Arabidopsis thaliana: one gene and its partners. The protein of the gene in region 2 interacts with the protein of the main gene of each other region in a pairwise test. Each region holds a gene or a part of one and is shown on either strand. Other genes may lie near its edges.

Region 1 (3,877 bases), 4.1 Mb from region 2:
ATAGATCGGTAACTCCATGGTTAGTAGCTTCTTGGCATCCACCTTGGTATAGTTCTTATACAGCGCATTACAGAGAAGCAGAATGTATGAAAGAAGCTATGGAGGAATTACTTTATTCTTATGGTACCGACATTGTCTTTAACGGACATGTAAGACCCGACCCAAAAAGCTGTCACTTATCTTTCTTTGCCTTTCGATTTGATATGATGGACCGTTATGTTTTTTCTTTTGTGAAAACTTATTTCCAGGTGCATGCTTATGAACGGTCGAACAGAGTATACAATTACGAACTGGACCCATGTGGTCCAGTTTACATTGTGATTGGTGATGGAGGTAACCGTGAAAAGATGGCGATCGAGCATGCAGATGACCCCGGTAAATGTCCAGAGCCGTTAACCACGCCCGATCCAGTCATGGGTGGGTTTTGCGCGTGGAACTTCACGCCGTCTGATAAGTTCTGTTGGGATCGGCAACCTGATTATAGTGCCCTGAGAGAAAGCAGCTTTGGCCATGGAATCCTAGAGGTACTGTTTTTAGTTAACTCCTTAACGCATCAAAACAGAGTTTAGCCTTAAGTTTATAACTAAAAAGATTAATCATTATGCAGATGAAGAACGAGACATGGGCACTATGGACATGGTATAGGAATCAAGACTCGAGCAGTGAAGTCGGAGATCAGATTTATATTGTGAGACAACCTGATCGATGTCCGCTTCACCACCGCCTTGTTAACCATTGCTAAGATCAAACAGAGATGGTCTAATAAAATTTTTGGGACTTTGATCATGTAACAGTTTCTCCCAAGAAAAATAAAAGTTTCAAAATTTCTCCAAAAATAAACAAAAAGTATCAAAATTTGTTTCTAAAAGATCTCAAGGAACTCGAGAACGAAGCTGCTGCAAACAGGACAGTGACCTTTCTGAGCCATAAGCTCTTTAGAACAGAGCTTACAAAACGTGTGACCACAAGGTGTAAAAGAAGCGCCTTTTATTTTCACCATGCAAACGCAGCAACTAAGCTCTCCTTCTCCTCCTCCATGACTATCTCCTTCTTCCTCGTTGTTCTCATCTTCTTCGTCTTCTTCGTACTCTTCATCTTCATCCATGGCGTATCTCGATCCTGTTAATCCCATTTGTCGATCTGTTTCTTCCAACAGATCCATCAGAGACATCGTCTGTTTCGGCTCAGAAGCTGAAGATGATTTCATCTCCTCTGTTTCTCCTGAATCATCCTCTTCGTCATCGTCGTCTTCATCTTCGCTTCCTCCAGCCGCCGCCGCTTCAGCTTCCGCCGCTTCTTGAGCAGCAACCGCTTCTCTCGCCGACATTTGTCTCTCTTCCACGAACGTGACGATCGGATGACGTCGTCTGTTGTTTTCTTCGCCTTCGCTGTGATCTCTAACGGAATCGTGCCGTGATAACTGCGGCTTAAAACTCCTAGACGGTGGCCCATCTTCAAGAACGCTGATGTCAGGCGAATCGTCCGGGTTTTTACTCGACCCGACCCGCATTGAAGATCCGCGCGTGAACATAGCGCGTCCTGAAGAACCAGGTGGATCTGACATCGGTATAGCGTGAACCAGATCTCGGATGTTTAAACCGGCGGAGTGAGACCGGAACGCTGTTCCAATGTGTTTGGGATTAGGGATAAGGATATCCGAAGCAGGGATATGAAGAGACGAGGTCCAAGCAGAACCGGTTCGTTTAAGACGGAGTTTCTCACGGAAAATCTGCCACGTGGTCCGATCTTTGTGCCCTTCTTTGGCGTATTCCTCACGTATGATATCAAAAAGGGTTTGGCTTGTTGGACGGTGCGGTACAAGAGATTTTGATGGTAAAGGTGGTGGCGACGGTAGAGATGGCGGTTCTATAAGGATCTCGCCGCCAAGCACAGCGTCTAGACTTAGTCCGGCTAACGAGTTACTACGGCTCTTTAACGCTGACATTTAACTCCATGCATCGAAATGTTACCTCGTGCATTGAATTTAGAGAGTCGAAAACATTGGATTTGCTTAATGAAAGAATTCAGAAAAATGAGAAAAAAGTGGTAGAAAATTTGGGATTGTGTTTTAACCTTTTAATCATTTAAACTTTTGCTTTCTTTTTTCATTTACCTTCTTAAATTGAAAGAAAATTTTGTGGGTAAAAGTGTTTTGGAATGGTTAGAAAGAGTAAGGAAGAACGAGTCTTAAGGTGAAAAAGAATTATCTAAATTAAGGATTACTCTATGATCTTTTCGAGGAAAGTTGAAAATTCTATTTCAATATTTTAATTTTGATGATCAAAATGTAATTCAACTTTTTATAACAGAAGGACCAGTTTTAATTAGGTTTGTGGAGATGGTCGCAACACTTGTACATATGGTTGGGCAAGAAAAGTAGAGAAGTGATAGAGAATTTATGAACATATATCCAAGAAATAAGAACAATATATCGTGGGTTGCATATTTGTGAGGAACAGAACTTCTTAGAGGATTATTTCGGATGATTAGAGCCATGGACCATGGTGATCATGCAATACCTGATTTTGAAACCTTATTTGGCTTGACACATTTTGGGTGCTTCTCTCTGCTCATCATACTAATTTTTAACACTTTGCCACTACTCACTTAATATTTGAGTGTGCAAATTAAAATTGATTCTTTTTGTTTGGCACAAAACAAAAAGTACTTATAGTTTTGAATGTGAATCCATGAATGGTACAAAGTTTATAAGTATATTTAGTAATATCTCAGTTCATTAAACAAACAGTCAATATGTCCGAGTGGTTAAGGAGACAGACTTGAAATCTGTTGGGCTTCGCCCGCGCAGGTTCGAACCCTGCTGTTGACGTTTACTTTTTCCTTTTTTTCCATGGCCCACGAAACAAATTTATCACATCCAAACTTCAATGTGACATAGCTCTTTAAGTATTTGCCAAAAGGAAAATCTACGAGATTCTAAGACTTCGGCATGATACAGATTACAGAGGATGATATATGCAGAGGAAAAATAAATCACGAAACGTTTTGGAGGAGGCGCATGACAAAAGACGAATTCAAGAAATAAACTAAGTAAAGTCGAATTCAAGAAATAAACTAAGTCAAAATCGCATACAACAAAACCTCGTAATATAATAGTATAATGTCTGAGCAAAACTTGCAAAAACATTCAAATACGATAAACTGATTGAATTCAGTACTTGACGGGTGCAAGAACATCCAATTGAGATCCAAGCTTCTCTTCAGCAACCTTCTCGGCCTTAGCTCTGAGTTTGCTAAGTTGCTTCTTTCTCTCATAAACAGCTTGAGCTCTTTCCTTTCTCTTGTTCTCCAGCTCCTGCTCATTTTCATCAAACACACATTCATTAGCTTATGATCCATTCTTCTAACTAAAACATGATCCAATCTAAAGATATCCTAAAACAGTACAGTTATGTGATGTATGCATATTATTGCTATAATACACGCATGACAGGAACTTATGTTCTTAAAAGCTTTTCATGACGATGTTCAAATCAGCTTAGGTACAGAAAGCATCACATCAGTAAAAGTGAACAGTACACAAGAGAAACTAAAGGTGAAGTGAAGCATACCTTGATGGTGTCGTAGTGGTTCCACCCGACTTCAGAAGAAAGGCGACCCAACAGACAGTATTTGTGTCCAGCCTGCAGCCTCAAGACCCTGATCAAGAAGGAAGAATCAAAGTTTCAGAGACTGTAGCTACTTGTAAGTATAAATGAAGGAAACTGAAAAAAAATGAAAATGAAAGGGTAAAAGGACAAACTTGAGAGCATCAGGAACGACCATCCTCTTGATCTTGTCATATGGAGTAGGAACTCCTTCAAAGACCTTCAAGCGGGCAAGTGCATTAGCTCCACGCTTAGTCTTGTGTGGAATC
Region 2 (5,293 bases):
TACCAAAGGTGCACTTTGGTTATCTTTGGCATTTGTTGCTTCATCGCCAGCAGAAGATACATCTGGGACAAAAAGAGTCTCTTTAGGACCGGCCATTTGATTAGAGATCACAGGAGGTCCTTTATAGTCAAGTCCACGATAAACCACCATTACACTTCCGGCCCTCCATATCACCATTCCACCAGTTCGACGCTGCCCATTAGAGTAATTCAATCAGTTTTTTTTTAAACCTAAAGTTAAGACATGCATCTCCTGCACAGTCTTGTTACTCAAAGAATTCTAACAGCATGCTCAGCTCCATCCACTCTAGTTAATCAACACCTCAAATTCACCTTATTCACAACTATATAATCGTTCCCAAGAAAGATCTAACGTTTTTCACAAATTTCCTACTGTTATTATAAAAGCTTTATAACCATTCTATTTCAGAGCTTAGGTACTTCAGAGTCTCTTACTATCCTATAAAGATCATGTCACTTCCGCAAAGCTTATCCCCAATAGATAATGAAAACCGCTCTCTCTTGGAATAATCTCGCACCTCAAATTTCGCTAACCTACTGTTCTAATCAATGAAGTATTCAAGAGAACTAACGAACCTCAACAATCTCATGGGCCGTCTTCATGTCACGAGCAAGCACTTCGTGGAACTTTAGCCTCACAAGCTCTTCTTTCCTCCAAGTATCATAAATCTTCTCCATCACTGCCTGCGTTAGCCCAGCTTTTGGTATATTGATCCTAACCCTCAGATACATTCCATCCCTCCTTAACCGCCGTAACTCAGAATCCTCAACGGTGAGCTCCGCCAGTGATGGAGCTCTAGCTCTCCTCTTCTGCATCACCGCCACTCCTCCTTCTCCTACTACTCTCTCCGCCGCCTGCTCTTCCTCATTTTTCTCCCATGGCAATAATACCTCATCCTCTTCCTCACTCTCTTCTCCCTCAGCAAGCATCATATCAGGTCTCACCCACTCTCTCTTCAACAAATCCCCCAATCTCTCTTCTCCAGTCACCGGCTTCACATCTCCGCCGTTAATTCCACCTCCCTCGTCATCTTCCACATCGTCCTCATCATCCGAACCTAATCCTAAATTCCGTAGCCGAAGAACAATCCTCTCAATCGCGTTTTGTCCTTTATCCTTCTCCAAATACCGAAGTTTCGCTTCCGCTTCCTCCTCCGCAGACCGAATTCTATCTCCGCCGTTGTTTTCACCACCTTTCTTCCCGGCATGATCACCGCCAGCTCCGGAGGATGACGGAGGCCACTTATCTATCCAAGGAGGAGTAGGTTTATGATTACGTTGATCTAATCGACGATTGTTATTGCTCCTGTTGTTGCTACGCTCGCTTGTACGCAGCGAAGAGAATGGCCGAACAATTTGTTGACGCGAGGGTTTCACACCCAACGAATAGAAGAGCAATGCGTGAAGCGAAGGAGAGGAACAATAGCGAGAGCTAGAGGTCAGAGGAAGAGAGCTTCTCAGTGGCATTTCCGTAAAATTAAGTGGAGCCAAAGCCATTGACGACACTAAGAAATTTTTTTGGAAAAAAAAGCTTCAGCGAAGTGTCTTCTTCGCCATCGTTTTGGATACTGAGAAATAAGTTTCAGGCGGATAAGCTGGATTTACTCGACCATACGGATAAGATTTTTGTATCGGTTTTAGGAAAATGGGCCTTTAATGGGTTTTAAAAGCCCATTACTACATGTTAAGTTTAAAAAAATTACACAGGTGAAAAGTTATATAAGCGACGGAGTCGGGTCTGAGTAAAACCGGTTTCGTTGTCGTTGGGTCACCGGCCGTACTAGAGAGATTCACCGTGAATTCGAATATTAAGTGAGAGAAGCTCCGATTGATTTCACTTTCTGCCGCCAATTTTTGTTTTTTCTTCGGTGAGACGAAGAAGATACCATGGGTCGACCTCCCAGTAATGGCGGTCCGGCGTTTCGATTTATCCTGCCTGAGGTTTATCTCGATTCTTTGTAATGTGTTGCTTTCACGGATTTTGAGCTCCCAGAGCTGAAAAATCTGATTTTTGTGTCGGTTTTGTTCCTTAGGATTTAGGTCTTCTTTTTGGGTTCATGATAGGGTTTAGATCCTGAAGTCCAATTGAATTTTTGTAATTAGCTAGTAGAAACTTGAAGACAATTCGATGTATGTTCTGAAATCCATTGGCTTTACTTTATTAAGTAATGTTTAAGAGTTTAGATTTGATAATACATAAGTTTTTCTATCTATCTGTTGTTCTATGGTTTTGTGACTTCTTTTGAAGAGGTTTTATCTTGTTTGTTATAGCTAATCTTCAATTGTTATGAAGGTAACGGAGATGGAAGCAATTTTGCTACAGCATAATACAGCAATGCCAGGTCGACATATTCTTGAAGCTCTTGCTGATAAGTTTAGGTATTTTACTTGTTGTTGCTCAATTCCTTGGCCTGAAAGTGATTTTGTGTCTTTATCATCTAAAATGTGGTTACTTTTTGTTATCTGTTGTCTCAGTGAATCACCTGAGCGGAAGGGGAAAGTTGTTGTGCAGTTCAAGCAAGTACTGGCTTTTTCCTTCTTGATTCTTAAGTTTTATCAGACAGAGTCTGTTGGGTTTGCTTTTAAAAGTTAATGGGAATGTTGTTTTAATGCATCACAGATCTGGAACTGGTTTCAAAATAGGCGATATGCTTTACGAGCAAGGGGAAACAAAGCTCCTGGGAAGCTAAATGTATCTTCCATGCCGCGTATGGATTTACCAAATCAGATGAGAAGTGTGATTCAACCATTATCAGTTCCTAAAACCACTCATATGACTGGAAATTTACCCGGCATGACGCCTGCCCCTTCTGGTAGTTTAGGTGCTTTATTTATTCTACTCTCAGTAAAATAGGTTGAGAAGGTTATTTATTGGAATAGGTTTCATTGGTTTTTTCAGTTTTAGTTTTTTCTCCATAAGTCTAGATCAGTATGGCTGATATTGCACAGATGCCATTTTCGTAACTGTTTACTGCTTTTCCTCATAGTTCCCGGTGTCATGAGGAGTGGTTCAGACAACTCTTACTTGGAATTTGAAGCCAAATCTGCCAGGGATGGTGCATGGTGATTCCCTTGCATTCAATCTTCAGTATTTTTTTTGCTGACTTATGATACTTTGTAACAATATCATTACATTCCACTGGTTTTCTCTGATATGTAACTCTCTTGCTTACTTACAGGTATGATGTGCAAGCTTTCCTAGCTCATAGAAACTTGGAGATTGGTGATCCGGTAATTCCTAACCAACCTCTTGTTGACTTATTTGTTCCCCTTTTTTGTTTTGCTAACAACAATCTTTCTGTTGGGTATTTCAGGAAGTGCAGGTTCGATTTGCGGGTTTCGAAGTTGAAGAAGATGAATGGATAAATGTCAAAAAGCATGTAAGACAACGGTCTCTCCCATGTGAAGCATCAGAATGTGTTGCAGTTCTTGCTGGAGATCTCGTCCTTTGTTTCCAGGTTTAGAACTTCGCTCTCTAAGCATTTAGTGATAGGTGTCATGTTAGTTTATCCCTGACTAGAACTATGTTATAACATCTTCAGGAAGGAAAAGATCAAGCTCTTTACTTTGACGCCATTGTTCTTGACGCACAGAGAAGAAGACATGATGTCAGAGGTTGTCGTTGTAGGTTCTTGGTGCGTTACAGCCACGACCAGTCCGAGGTTGGACGATCATCTCTCTCTCTCTCTCTCTATCCCTTGCGGTTTTATTTACCCGTCAGCTCCATTTCATGGTTTAGACCATAAAGCAAAACCCTCCTCACTCACCTATTTTGGATTTCTTTTCCGTTATCCCAGCAGGAAATCGTTCCCTTGAGGAAGATTTGTCGGCGGCCCGAGACAGATTACAGGCTACAACAACTTCACAACGCCGTAAACGATTTGGCTAACTCAAATCAGCATCAGATACCCGCTCTAGATGCGGCTGCAAAAACCCCTCTGTCACTACCCGGAGCTACAGTTCCCATTGTTGCACCCGAGTCAAAAGATCCGAGCCTGAGTGCCACTCCAGCCACTTTGGTTCAGCCTAGCTCCAATGCAGCTACTGTTCCCGCTGGTTCAGCCTAGGCCATGTAATTTCTATCCCCGTTTGTAACAGCCATTTTTCACAGTTACTAGTAGAGGTTAACTTGGGATCATATGCATTGTACTCTCACACAATGAATTAGTCATCTAAAGCTGTATCATGCCATGTTACTTGATCCTTCATGTATGATGGAATATTTATGGTTTAGTCCGGTTTATTCATCATCTGTTGATGGTCACCGGTTTTTTACTCTTTTGAACAAACATGCTCGAATCATGTGGATTTATTCTTTTCAAGGCTTAAGTTTACAAGTTAGGAATCTTACCTCGAGTCATTTAGCTTTACAACATTTGTGGGGATGAGAAATTAACCAATTATTAATCTGAAAAATATCTCACTGTGCTGAGGAGACTAGATAACACTTGAGGTCAAAAGAACTATTTTGCTTCTGTAAATGACTGATCAGCCTAGACACAGAACAACAGTTTTACAAACAATTACAACAGTTTTTATTGTTACAGAATAACAAAGGGAATAATAAGAAACTTACAGATTTGATATGTTACATATCATATGTATCTAACTTTGTAACAAGGGCTCAACTCTCTCTGAACATTTTATCCAATGCCCCTACATATCTATCTATATACATCATAGATGATTGTTTGATCGGGAAAAACAAGTGACTACATTGGTGCGGGTAATCTCCGGTTATAGGAGGATCCTGTCCCCGAACCCGAGCCTGATCGAGATGGGGAATGAGACGGGGCTTGAACTGGGGACGAGTTAAGAATCTCGAGACGGGGCTTGAGCTGGGGATGAGTTAAGAATCTCCTTACCAAGGTCTTTGATCTTGTTGATAAGCAGCGATTGCTCTGTCTGAAGCTGGAGCAAATACTGTTCTTGTTCGTCCTCCAAACTTTCCAGCTCTTCTAAAGCTTCAGCAAGACCTTCAAGATCTCCATCGTCAATCAAATTCTGAAACTTTATCATCACCTGCTTCATCTGGTTGGACAGTAACAGAGCTTTGTTAAACGGTGTGCCAGGACCTGCGCTGGCGCGTCTCTGAATCTCCGTGACTTTCCTCGTGACTCTGACATGGACCTCCCCGTGTTTCACTCCTTGGAGAATTATCCACTTATCGGCAGTCTCATTTGGCTTTAACCCTTGGTACTCCACAACGCAGTTACCGATGCTTGAAGTCGGAAGCAGAGTGTTATAGTCTTTCACATGTAGCTCCAAGGAGC
Region 3 (4,803 bases), on a different chromosome or scaffold from region 2:
CCGAAAGTTTAACCTTTCTAGACTAAGCTAATTCAACAACATAAAGAGTTTAGAACATAGTTTACCGTGTCCTCTGAAGACATGTCGGAACGCTTAAGAACTTTGAAGAAGCTTTCCTGCTTCCTCTCTTCTTTGCACCAAAGAAAATCAGGGTTACTTGCCATCTCTCTCCTTTGAAATGTTCTGATTCAAGCTCTCACCTACAAGTTTTGCTCCTTCAACTTGCTCGTCTCTCTCACTCTCTATCTCCTCTCGTAATATTTTTCTCTCTGTCTTGTTGAGCCGTTGAATATGTAGCAAAGCACCACTTAAAATTTCAAAGATATGATTCAATCAAAGTGGTCAAAGTGAAAAAAGCTTTCCTCTCAATACTGAAACTGTAGTACAATTGTGACTTCATCCTTTTTGGATGTGTTCATTTAATTCATAGCATGCGATTATTATGCATAACAGATGAATCTCTTTTGGCGTTAATACATTTCGGTGACTGGAAATAAGAAGTACGACACTAGGCAAGTACTGTAATTATACTTTTCTGTTTAGGTAATGACTGTATTGGATTAGTTCTTCATTTTGATAAATTTATGAAGAAGAGTATAAAAGAAATTATAACTTATTTGGCAACCACTTAAGGTGGTGAAGTTGTCTCCAAGAACATATAAGAAAAAGGTTAGGATTTCATTTGATATCAAACAAAAGTTCAGCAATTGACATTTGCCACATCTTAATCTCTGTAATGTCATTCCAAATCCAATTATTCTACCGCTAACTTCATAATTAAAGGCCATATATTCAGCAGCCCTACATTTATAATTGACCTGTAATATGGCAACAAAAAGAACATCTGATCTAGAGACTCTGTAGAACTGTTAGAATTGAAAGATCAGAGGAAGTGATGAGTAGGATACTCATGTTCATAACCATTGTAGTCATAATAGAGCCTTTCCCCTTTCGATATATCGCGTGTAGCCACTAGAAGAACTCGACATTCGCCGTTTATGCTATACCTCACGCATTTGCAGTTCTGCTTCTTCTTAGCAACCCTGCAACAATCAGTGTGATGTGATGATTCAATGTTATAAACCAGTTTAGTGGGGGGAAAACAATTTTGAATTTGTTGCTTACGGATTGTGATTGTTAATGCCATTAATGAAGCGAGATATGTTTCCAAACTTGTCTGGACAGATAACAAGAGTCTTTGAAGGATCTTCTGATAAAAGGAGAGTCATGATGCTGTCACAATCGTCTTTTTCTCGGTTTTTCAAGTAATCAACATCCCCTGTATATTCAGCTATGAATGTTAAGTCCTTAATAGGACCATCTGCTTCAACTGTGTAACTGTACAAACGGAATAACCAAAGAACATGTTTACAACTCCACTTTGTCATTATGGGAAGGTTGATCGAAGGAATAGAGAGAGATACCCTTCAAGCGGATCAAATACCACAACGAGAGGAGGGCATTCTCCTCGTCTATACATAGATTGACATTGTTCCAATGTCTCTAAATCTTCTTTGCATAGCACCTGCGAAAAGTAAAAACCGAGATAAACAATCAAGGAAGTAACTTAAAATAAGAGAGTTATGGATAAATGGCTGAAAGATTGTTTTTGTTTATTACCTGCATCCCACCTTTCTCTAACTTGGATTGATTTGCAGACCGAGGAGCCATTCCGGGAACATAATTTAAACCATCGCTGTATTTGATACCCAATGCCGTTAATGCAGAAGCAAGTGTTCCCATTTGTGCAAGCCTCTGATCAGGATCTTCTGATGGAACCAAAGGTAAGAGTTTTCTCCTTCTTTTCTTCACTGTCAAAGAGCAAGATCGTCTCCGCTTTCTAGTTTCTTCTTCAAAACAAAGAAATCTCAATCTCAAACACTTGTTATTAGTTTAATCCTGAAGCATCTATGATCTATGTATATGATATGTATAAGTTCTCATCAATGCTTATTAACCCTACATAAGGTGCAACAAAATTTCAAGCATATAATAGGCCAAAGTTAAGCTATTTCATATTCATCTAACTATTTAATCAAGTGAAACATCTCGTCAGATTCATCAACTCAAGAACTTTATGATCATATCATGAAATCCAAAAACAAAAATCGCACCTTGACTCAATTCCAATTTGTCTGTTTGATGAGTATGCTTCTCAATCCGAAAGAAATGTAAAATCTTCTTCTGAGATAACCCTAAACATTTCACCGGACAAGAGAAAAATCCATTTTTTTATTAAACAAAGAACACAAGAAAATTAGGAAATTTAAAAGCGAAGAAACAAAAAATCCATACTTCTTACAGGTCGTTGGTCGGAACAATCGACACAAAGCCAAGTTCCAATGGGGACACGAACAACAATGGGTCTAAGGCATTTCATGTGAAAGCCTCTATCGCATTTGTCACAGAGAAGAAGCTCATCGTCTCCTTCTCCAGAACCACATTTCTCGCAGGTGACGTTACTGTAGCTGTCTTCGTCTTCTTCTTCTTCTTGTTCAACCACAGGGACAGATTTCGCCATTATCTCAGCCATTGATTTCATCTTCCTCGGTGGTGGAGATTCGGAGGAAGGGCGTCTCGCTGGAGCTTTCGTTCGTCGCCTCGATGAGCAAGGAGACGCCGCAGGGGAGGATGCGTTCCATGTGGCCATGACGGAAGCTCACGACGAAGAGTCGCCGGAGAACGGGATATATGATTTTGATTGGTTGGGGCTAATGTGCACCGCCGCGTGTGCGCACGAAAACTGATGTGCGCATCACCTGGAGTGTAATTTGGGATTCTTCCTTTGAGACTCTTCTTTATCGGCTCTTTTGTTTTTTTGACCTTTGACAAATTCAAAATTACTGGTATGTCTTAAAAGGTTTAAACATTGTAAGTGATACTAATAAATTTACAACCATTAAAGCCTTTTAATTGTTACTAAATTTCTTAACTAAATTTTACTTATTTAATTTACTAGGGATTGATATAAAAATTAATACAGTATTAACTATACTATACAAACGTAATTACAAAAATAGATATCTTTCAATTGAAAAAAAATATATGTTGGTGGGCTCAATACAAACACAGTAAACGTCAATTTCGTCAACTGAGCCACCCCAACGCCAAGCCCAACAGTCGGTCCGCCTCATTGGAGGCTCAAGTTCTTTATTTGACAAGCTAAACCAAAGTGTTCTGGTTTGACCAACAATGTAATATTACATAAATCTGAATCTATAAAATACAAAATTTAATAAATTATGTCTTATGGTTTAACATAATTTTCTGTTTCCGATTTAAGAATTTTTCGCCATATTGATTTTCATAATTTTATATACATATATAATATCTTTCAATTGTAAATTTTTATCTTATAATTTTATATATGAATAGTTTTCTCTATTTTTTTCAAGGTTTTTAATTAATAAGAAATTGCGGTGTTAGCGTTAATGAAATAGTTATGGTATAGACTATAAAGAATAATATACATAATTGGAACAAGTGAAATGGTTGTTTGATATATTCTTGACGATGAGAGCAAAACTTTCTTATCATATTTTCTGAACCGGGGTGTATGCTAGGTAATTTTGTGGCTAAGTCCTTTATTAAGGTTGTTGCACTTCTTCACAAGGATGAAAACTTAAGTCTTGCATCGGTGGATGCTTCAAGATATTCATATATGCTCGCCATGTAAGTTTTGCTTATACTAATACTGTTTAAGTCATAGTATTCCAAAAAAATCAAAGAAATAAGACTATTACTGGTCCATCACAATGGATTCCCTTCGAGAAGCCCGCATCGATCTTTCTATGCCTTATGAGTTTTGTCCCTATGAATATGAGGAATATGAAAAACATTCTTGACCTTGCTTCTACTACCGTTAAAGTATGATGTCTCTCTCTTCTCCATGTATCTTGTTACATTCATGCTTGACCAATTTGTTTGTGTTTCATTCATGACCAGTTTGCTTGTGTGTTGTAGATGATGCGTCATTGCTTCGATTATTGGCGTAGTAATGAATTTCCCTTGTTTAAAAACCTTGTTAAACTATCGTTTGAGTCTAAGACGAAAAAAGGTTGGAAAGTTCTTTGGACTCTGATAAAAAGCTCTCCCAATCTAGAAACTTTGATCCTCAAGGTTTGTATGTATAATATGATCTCTTTTTCTCTTTCTCAATTATAAATTTAATCTCGGAGTTTCACTTACTGTGTGTTCTTTTCTTTTCTATCCGTTGTTTCAGGGTTTTCAGTGTGTAAGTACTTGTGGGTATAGCATTGATGGAAATACGTTGAAGGTGTTGGAGTTATACGGGTGTAGAGGGAATCTTAGAGAAGTCGAACAAGTGAGGCTGTTCTGTCGGAAAGTGAATTTCTTCAAGTAATGAAAGTGGAAATTGGTACTAAGGTTGATGTTGACAAGAAATTGCAACTCACCAAAGACCTCCTTCCTTATCCTAACGTTCCTCCAAATGCCAAATCCACTTCTTGTAATCTTTTAAATCCAATTTTGTTTTTGACTGCTCAATCAATCAAGATTCAGTTTGTTTTAGATACAAAGACAACATCTCCCTTGATAGAGCATATTGATAGCTTTACTTTTAATACGATTTTGCCAAGTCCAAACATAAAATTCTGGTTTAGAGTATCAACATTGCAATGATACTAGTACTAAAGAACATTGCAATTTATTCTCAAAGTTCTAATGGCATTGGCCGTGATAACAATTCCATTCACCTTCCAAAAAATCTCTTTCCTTACAACTTGAATTTTTTTTACCAACAAGTAATAATCCCTAAAGAAGTTAATACGGAGGGGGGATAAT
Region 4 (5,432 bases), on a different chromosome or scaffold from region 2:
TCTGTTGTAACAATTCACACCAAGAATCTCTGTAGTAAAAATTATTAACTTAATAGAGTATATATCTTATAAATTTATAAGTTCTGAAGTTTTCGTGGTTTCTTTTCTTTCTTCATTTATTAGCCCAATGAACCTGTCATACTATAACGATTAATAGAGAGCAATTTTTTTTTTGAAAAAAGGGTTTGAGGCAAATATTTCGTTCCATTATAATTCAGTTTCCAAAATCTTTTTACATCCTCGATTGGGAATAAGCTTGGTATCTTGTTTGACACTTCACTTACCAGGGAACTGGTGTTTGGGGCTAGCTAGAGTAACAATAAATGGAAGAAATAAGAATGTATTGGATGTATCAAAACAGTCAAAATGTGGATAAATAAGCAATATGTATTATGTATATGTTTGAACCCCCACGTGAAATGGAAATAGAAGGGGTCATGGGTGACTTTTATTATTTGGCCGTTAAGTTGGACGACCGACCGCATTTTTGTCAGCTTTCATATTCGTCACCTCCCTAAAGCACAAAAAAAAAACTTTGTAATTCGAAGTAATATTTCCTACAACTAAATTATTAATGCTTCCTAAGATTATCTAAAATAACAACCAACTGACATGAAAAAAAAAAATCAAAAAGAATAAACACACATGAATTTCTAAATTGATGTCAAATGATGCATCAATGGTTCTATTGATCTATTAGAGTTCTTTTTTTTCTTTGGTCGTATGATTACCATTTAGAGCCATAAAGTGTACTTATTATCCAAATTCATTGAAGAACATAAAATGACAAGAAAAAAAAAACAAAATCCGAAGAAAAACAAATGTGGTATGTTTGTGTATTAATAAGCGAAACCTATTGATATCTCTCAGTCATAGCAGGAGAGTCGTCGGATGAGTGGAAGAGAATATCTGGATTTTATGAGCGTATCTATGTCCAGTCACCGTATACATTTACATTTTGCAGGTGATGAGATCAACTTCTTAAATTTGATCTCAACCGTTCATCACAAAATCTCTTCAAAGGACCACAATTATCTCGAGTGTCCGTGAACTCCTGTCATGATACCTCATGAAAAGTAAACAAACAAAAAAAGTCAAACTATAACCTTTAAGACATAATCATTCAAATGAAAAGGGCATCCAAATAACAAAAATAAAATTGGATTTATTTCTTGTCAACAAGTTCTTTTCTATTAAATTCATTTGAGCCCCGCATAAGAAAACGTAGGTGGAACAATCAATTCGTGGTGAATATTAACATATCTATTATAATTATCTATTGTAAATTTGTGACCAAAACGTTATAAATAGCCCAAGTTATCATTAAACTGTTTTATACTAATAAGCAAGCTTACTAATTAACGTTAAAGTCTAAATTTTTATGCCTACCGTGTTTTACTCCGTAAACACTTTTTTTTTATTACTTTACAGACTTACGAAATGTGTGACACATGGCAAAGGCCCGAGTAAAACAAGTTTATGAAACGGACATAACATTTAAAATCATCGGTTTCATATTTCGTAGTCAAAGTTAGGTATGAAGAGAAACTACGTGGACTCGTTTAGTCAACTTGATCACCATTTTAAAAATATTTACTCCTTTCATTTATTGTACGCAAATCTTACTTACATATAAAAATTTTAGACACGAAACGACGTCGCGCTTGACTCAATGTTTGTATTAGTGTAATAAATTAGTTTTTTTTATATTTTTGTTGTTATTCGTAAACTATACATAATTCAGATTAGTTTGGTTTATTACTTTATTCTATCCTTCTTTCTTCTTTGGGGTAAAAGGCTCGTACGAATACGCAAAATGAATATTGATCTCCATATACAAACATTTTATTTCGTATTACTATATGTAACTTAGAAAATTATAAAACTGACAGGAATTCAAACGGAACAGAAGTTTATAAGATCATTTACTTGATGATATTTTGATCAAAATAGAGTATATGAAAATACAGAAACTTCCAACTGACTTACACAAAAATATATACCAATATTTAACAATAAATAGACCAAAATGGCATTATTATCCAATTCGTTTTGAAAAATTGAGCGTTATTCTATTGAATACCTAAAGTATAGTCTAGTTCAAAAAAAAAAAAGAACTTAATAAGAATCTCTACCAATCTTATAAAATTTTCAAAATTTGAAAACATACTCCATAAAAAGCCAGAAAATAATTCAATTAGTCATGGCCGAATTTAAATAAAATTGACTTTGGTTGGAAATGCTTTTTCTACTGGCGCAAGTAAGAGCCGATACATGTTTATATCAGAAAAGCCAGAAGAGAGAGAGATTGAGAGCAAAGTTTCATTTGTTGTGTAGCCCTTTGTCTCTCGCATCCTCATTTTTCAAAATCTCACTCTCTCTTTCCTCTCTGCTTTCATTTGCTTTCTATAAATCCAAACTCTTAAACAAAAGATTTTGTCTTTCCATCAACATCAACTCCCTCATAAACTCCCACAAAGACTCTCACTTTAAAACTCCTTCACTACTTCGTGTTCTTCGTCTCTTTTTCTTTTTTTCTTTCACTTTTCCATAAGCAAAGAAACAAAAAGGATGAGTTCAAGAGTGTTCAGAGCAACACCAGATAACAACTATTTGGTCCCCAGGAGATCCAAAGACCAACAAGACACCAGTCCCGACCGTAACCGAATCTGGTCTGAGCCTCGTCTTAAACCCGTCGTTAACCGGAAAGTCCCAGTCGTCTATTATCTCTGCCGGAATGGTCAGCTTGACCATCCTCATTTCATCGAAGTCACTCTCTCTTCCCACGATGGTCTTTATCTCAAAGGTAATAATAAATCAACCCAAAAACTGATGAAAACGCTTTTTCAAGAAAGTAGCTTTTTGAGTTCAAAAGGTTTTCAAACTCTCTGTTCTCTTTGGCTTTTTACTCTTTATTATTTCTGAAACATAACAGTGAAAAAGGCGGCAAGTTTTCGAATTGTATCTTTATTTCAAAATCAAGAACTTCATTGAGCAACTAAAAAAGTTTAAAACTTTAATTTGGTTTTTTCCAAATTCTCAGATGTGATAAACCGCTTGAATGATCTAAGAGGGAAAGGCATGGCAAGTCTCTACTCTTGGTCTTCGAAACGGTAAACGATTCTCCTCCACCGTCGGATCTCTATAAAGCCTCTTCCTTTTAAAATCTCTTGACATTTTTTTATTGTTCAGGAGCTACAAAAATGGATTTGTCTGGCACGATTTATCGGAGGACGATTTCATCTTCCCTGTTCAAGGTCAAGAATATGTTCTCAAAGGCTCTGAGGTTCTTGATTCTTGTCTTATCTCAAACCCAAGAAGCCTCCTCGAAACGTCGTCGTTTAGAGACCCAAGATCTTTAAATCCAGATAAAAACTCCGGCGATGATATCCCGGCGGTGATAAATCGACGGAGGAACCAGTCTTGGAGCTCTATCGATCTCAGCGAGTACAAAGTGTACAAAGCAACCGAGTCAAGCGCCGAGTCAACTCAAAGACTCGCTGCGGACGCTTCTACTCAGACTGACGATAGACGACGGAGGAGAAGACCGGCGAAAGAGGAAATAGAAGAGGTGAAAAGTCCGGCGAGTTATGAGAATCAGAGTACAGAGCTGAGCAGAGACGAGATATCTCCTCCACCGTCGGATTCAAGTCCCGAGACATTAGAGAATCTGATCAAAGCCGATGGACGGCTGATATTGCGTCCTAGCGAAAGCAGCACCGATCATCGGACGGTCGAGAGTTTATCCAGCGGAAGAATGAGAGCTTCGGCTGTGTTAATGCAGCTGATATCGTGTGGTACGATGTCGTTTAAAGAATGTGGGCCTGTTTTGTTGAAAGATCAAGGGCTGGCGTTGAACGGGCGTAGCGGGTGTACGATAACGCGAGGAGCAGAGGATAATGGTGAGGAGAGGGTAGATAAGGAATTAAAGAGTTTTGGAAGGGTACAATTGGAAGATAAGGAGTATTTTAGCGGCAGTTTGATTGAGACCAAGAAGGAGCTTGTTCCTGCTTTGAAAAGATCTTCTTCTTACAATGCTGACAGGTAAAAAAATAAAACATCAAGCAGTTCGATTTCTCTTTAGATGAAACGGCACGTAGTTCTATTTTAACTTTTATGAATTTACCCGTACATTGGCAATTATTGGTTATGGTGTGTTGAACTGTTGATTGAAAGAGCTGAAAATGGTAAAGTTTGTAGAAGTACATTTTGGGGTGTCTTTCAAACGTCTTCTCAATTTTTAAAAGTTCTAATAGTTTTTTTTAATGAAATGAAAGGTTATAATAATTGATATTTGATAAATTTTATTAGGTGTTCAAGAATGGGACCAACGACGGAGAAGGATGAGGAAGAAGCGGTTCGAGCTAAGTGCATTCCGAGAAAACCAAAGCCGGTGGCTAAAAGGAACAATGGTGGGCAGCAGTAACAAAAACGGCACGATGAGTCTAACAAGCTTATTTTGGGTTTAAGTAGAAGAGAAAAGTAGAATAGGGAATGATGAGTTTGTAAAGCATTGTGAATTGTGTAGGTAAACTATAACAATTCCTTTGCATGCTAAAAAAATTAAGAGTTAACATGATGGGTGAATATATAATATATAATGTTGTAGTCTGAGCCTAGGTGTCTTTTGAGGTTAATTTCAATCTGGTTTTCTTTTATAACCCCAATATTACTTTATCGTAGTGATTGGGAACCTAAATTACAAATTTCAGTTAGTTTTGACCATTTTTCATACTTTTGGGGTTTCATTGATAGCTCCTTTCAGTTTAGAGTAAAATATCAAATGATCATAGGAAGCTTCTTTTTCCAACATGCATAGTAGTAGTACTACTAGTAACCATAGAAATTAAGGTGTAGATATTTACGATTTTGGACCAAATACATAAAGAACAACAAAAATATATAGATTTGTAGGGAAAACGCCCTCCAACAAATTGACTTGGCGTGATTAGTTTACAGAAATTACCAGAAATACATCGAAAACATTTATTTATATACTATTGAATACTCCATTGAAATGTGGTAAAGTGATAGTTTTCCTTGAAAGTGTAAATAGCTTAGAGTCAATGTTGGGGTGGTACCTTGAGGCTACAAATTATTCAGGGAAAAGTCTCTATGCCCTTTAATTCTGGCCTATTTGGCTTTTGTGGCGTCAACTCCAATATCAATTTGCAGCACGTACACAATATTTTAAAAATAATCGTACCAAAAAGAAATTTCAATAACCAACAACAATGTTGTCTTTTGACTTTGAAATCTTAGAAGTTTCCACTTACCCATTTCTAGAAGTCTTAAATAGCACTGTTATTCAAAATCTTTTTCATTGTACATCATTAAACTCTATGCAAAAGGAGAAATACATTATAAATTCCCACAATCTGCATTCATTAGTATGGAAACCAGACTTTTAAGAATTTGGTTTATTTTGTCAA

What was found.
Region 1: the proteins of SHH2 (region 2) and AT3G07120 interact in a two-hybrid assay, tested with the Arabidopsis thaliana proteins (one large-scale study listed by BioGRID).
Region 3: the proteins of SHH2 (region 2) and ATXR5 interact in a two-hybrid assay, tested with the Arabidopsis thaliana proteins (one large-scale study listed by BioGRID).
Region 4: the proteins of SHH2 (region 2) and AT5G59790 interact in a two-hybrid assay, tested with the Arabidopsis thaliana proteins (one large-scale study listed by BioGRID).

What each region holds. Positions count from the first base shown.
Region 1 is NC_003074.8:2,252,628-2,256,504, reverse strand, and holds AT3G07120 (RING/U-box superfamily protein), read right to left. Parts: upstream 2,027-3,877; 5' UTR 1,946-2,026; coding exon 863-1,945; 3' UTR 763-862; downstream 1-762. Other genes in the region: PAP15 (purple acid phosphatase 15), read left to right, coding at 1-524, 608-742; AT3G07110 (Ribosomal protein L13 family protein), read right to left, coding at 3,173-3,319, 3,573-3,660, 3,764-3,877.
Region 2 is NC_003074.8:6,309,796-6,315,088, reverse strand, and holds SHH2 (DNA-BINDING TRANSCRIPTION FACTOR 2), read left to right. Parts: upstream 1-1,682; 5' UTR 1,683-1,907; coding exon 1,908-1,961; intron 1,962-2,313; coding exon 2,314-2,399; intron 2,400-2,495; coding exon 2,496-2,541; intron 2,542-2,640; coding exon 2,641-2,842; intron 2,843-3,007; coding exon 3,008-3,083; intron 3,084-3,199; coding exon 3,200-3,251; intron 3,252-3,334; coding exon 3,335-3,478; intron 3,479-3,562; coding exon 3,563-3,682; intron 3,683-3,817; coding exon 3,818-4,087; 3' UTR 4,088-4,370; downstream 4,371-5,293. Other genes in the region: EMB1865 (CRS1 / YhbY (CRM) domain-containing protein), read right to left, coding at 1-192, 597-1,517; ATSYTF (C2 domain-containing protein), read right to left, coding at 4,833-5,293.
Region 3 is NC_003076.8:3,038,321-3,043,123, forward strand, and holds ATXR5 (TRITHORAX-RELATED PROTEIN 5), read right to left. Parts: upstream 2,842-4,803; 5' UTR 2,651-2,841; coding exon 2,296-2,650; intron 2,196-2,295; coding exon 2,115-2,195; intron 1,851-2,114; coding exon 1,621-1,850; intron 1,526-1,620; coding exon 1,425-1,525; intron 1,339-1,424; coding exon 1,126-1,338; intron 1,044-1,125; coding exon 884-1,043; 3' UTR 660-883; downstream 1-659. Other genes in the region: AT5G09780 (Transcriptional factor B3 family protein), read right to left, coding at 66-164; AT5G09800 (ARM repeat superfamily protein), read right to left, coding at 4,803-4,803. UniProt on the Arabidopsis thaliana protein: Histone methyltransferase that specifically monomethylates 'Lys-27' of histone H3 (H3K27me1). Has much higher activity on nucleosomes containing H3.1 than H3.3.
Region 4 is NC_003076.8:24,088,379-24,093,810, forward strand, and holds AT5G59790 (UPSTREAM OF FLC protein (DUF966)), read left to right. Parts: upstream 1-2,266; 5' UTR 2,267-2,571; coding exon 2,572-2,806; intron 2,807-3,043; coding exon 3,044-3,113; intron 3,114-3,192; coding exon 3,193-4,044; coding exon of another isoform or gene 4,045-4,048; exon of another isoform or gene 4,049-4,187; intron 4,188-4,311; coding exon 4,312-4,426; 3' UTR 4,427-4,790; downstream 4,791-5,432. UniProt on the Arabidopsis thaliana protein: SOSEKI proteins (SOK1-5) locally interpret global polarity cues and can influence cell division orientation to coordinate cell polarization relative to body axes.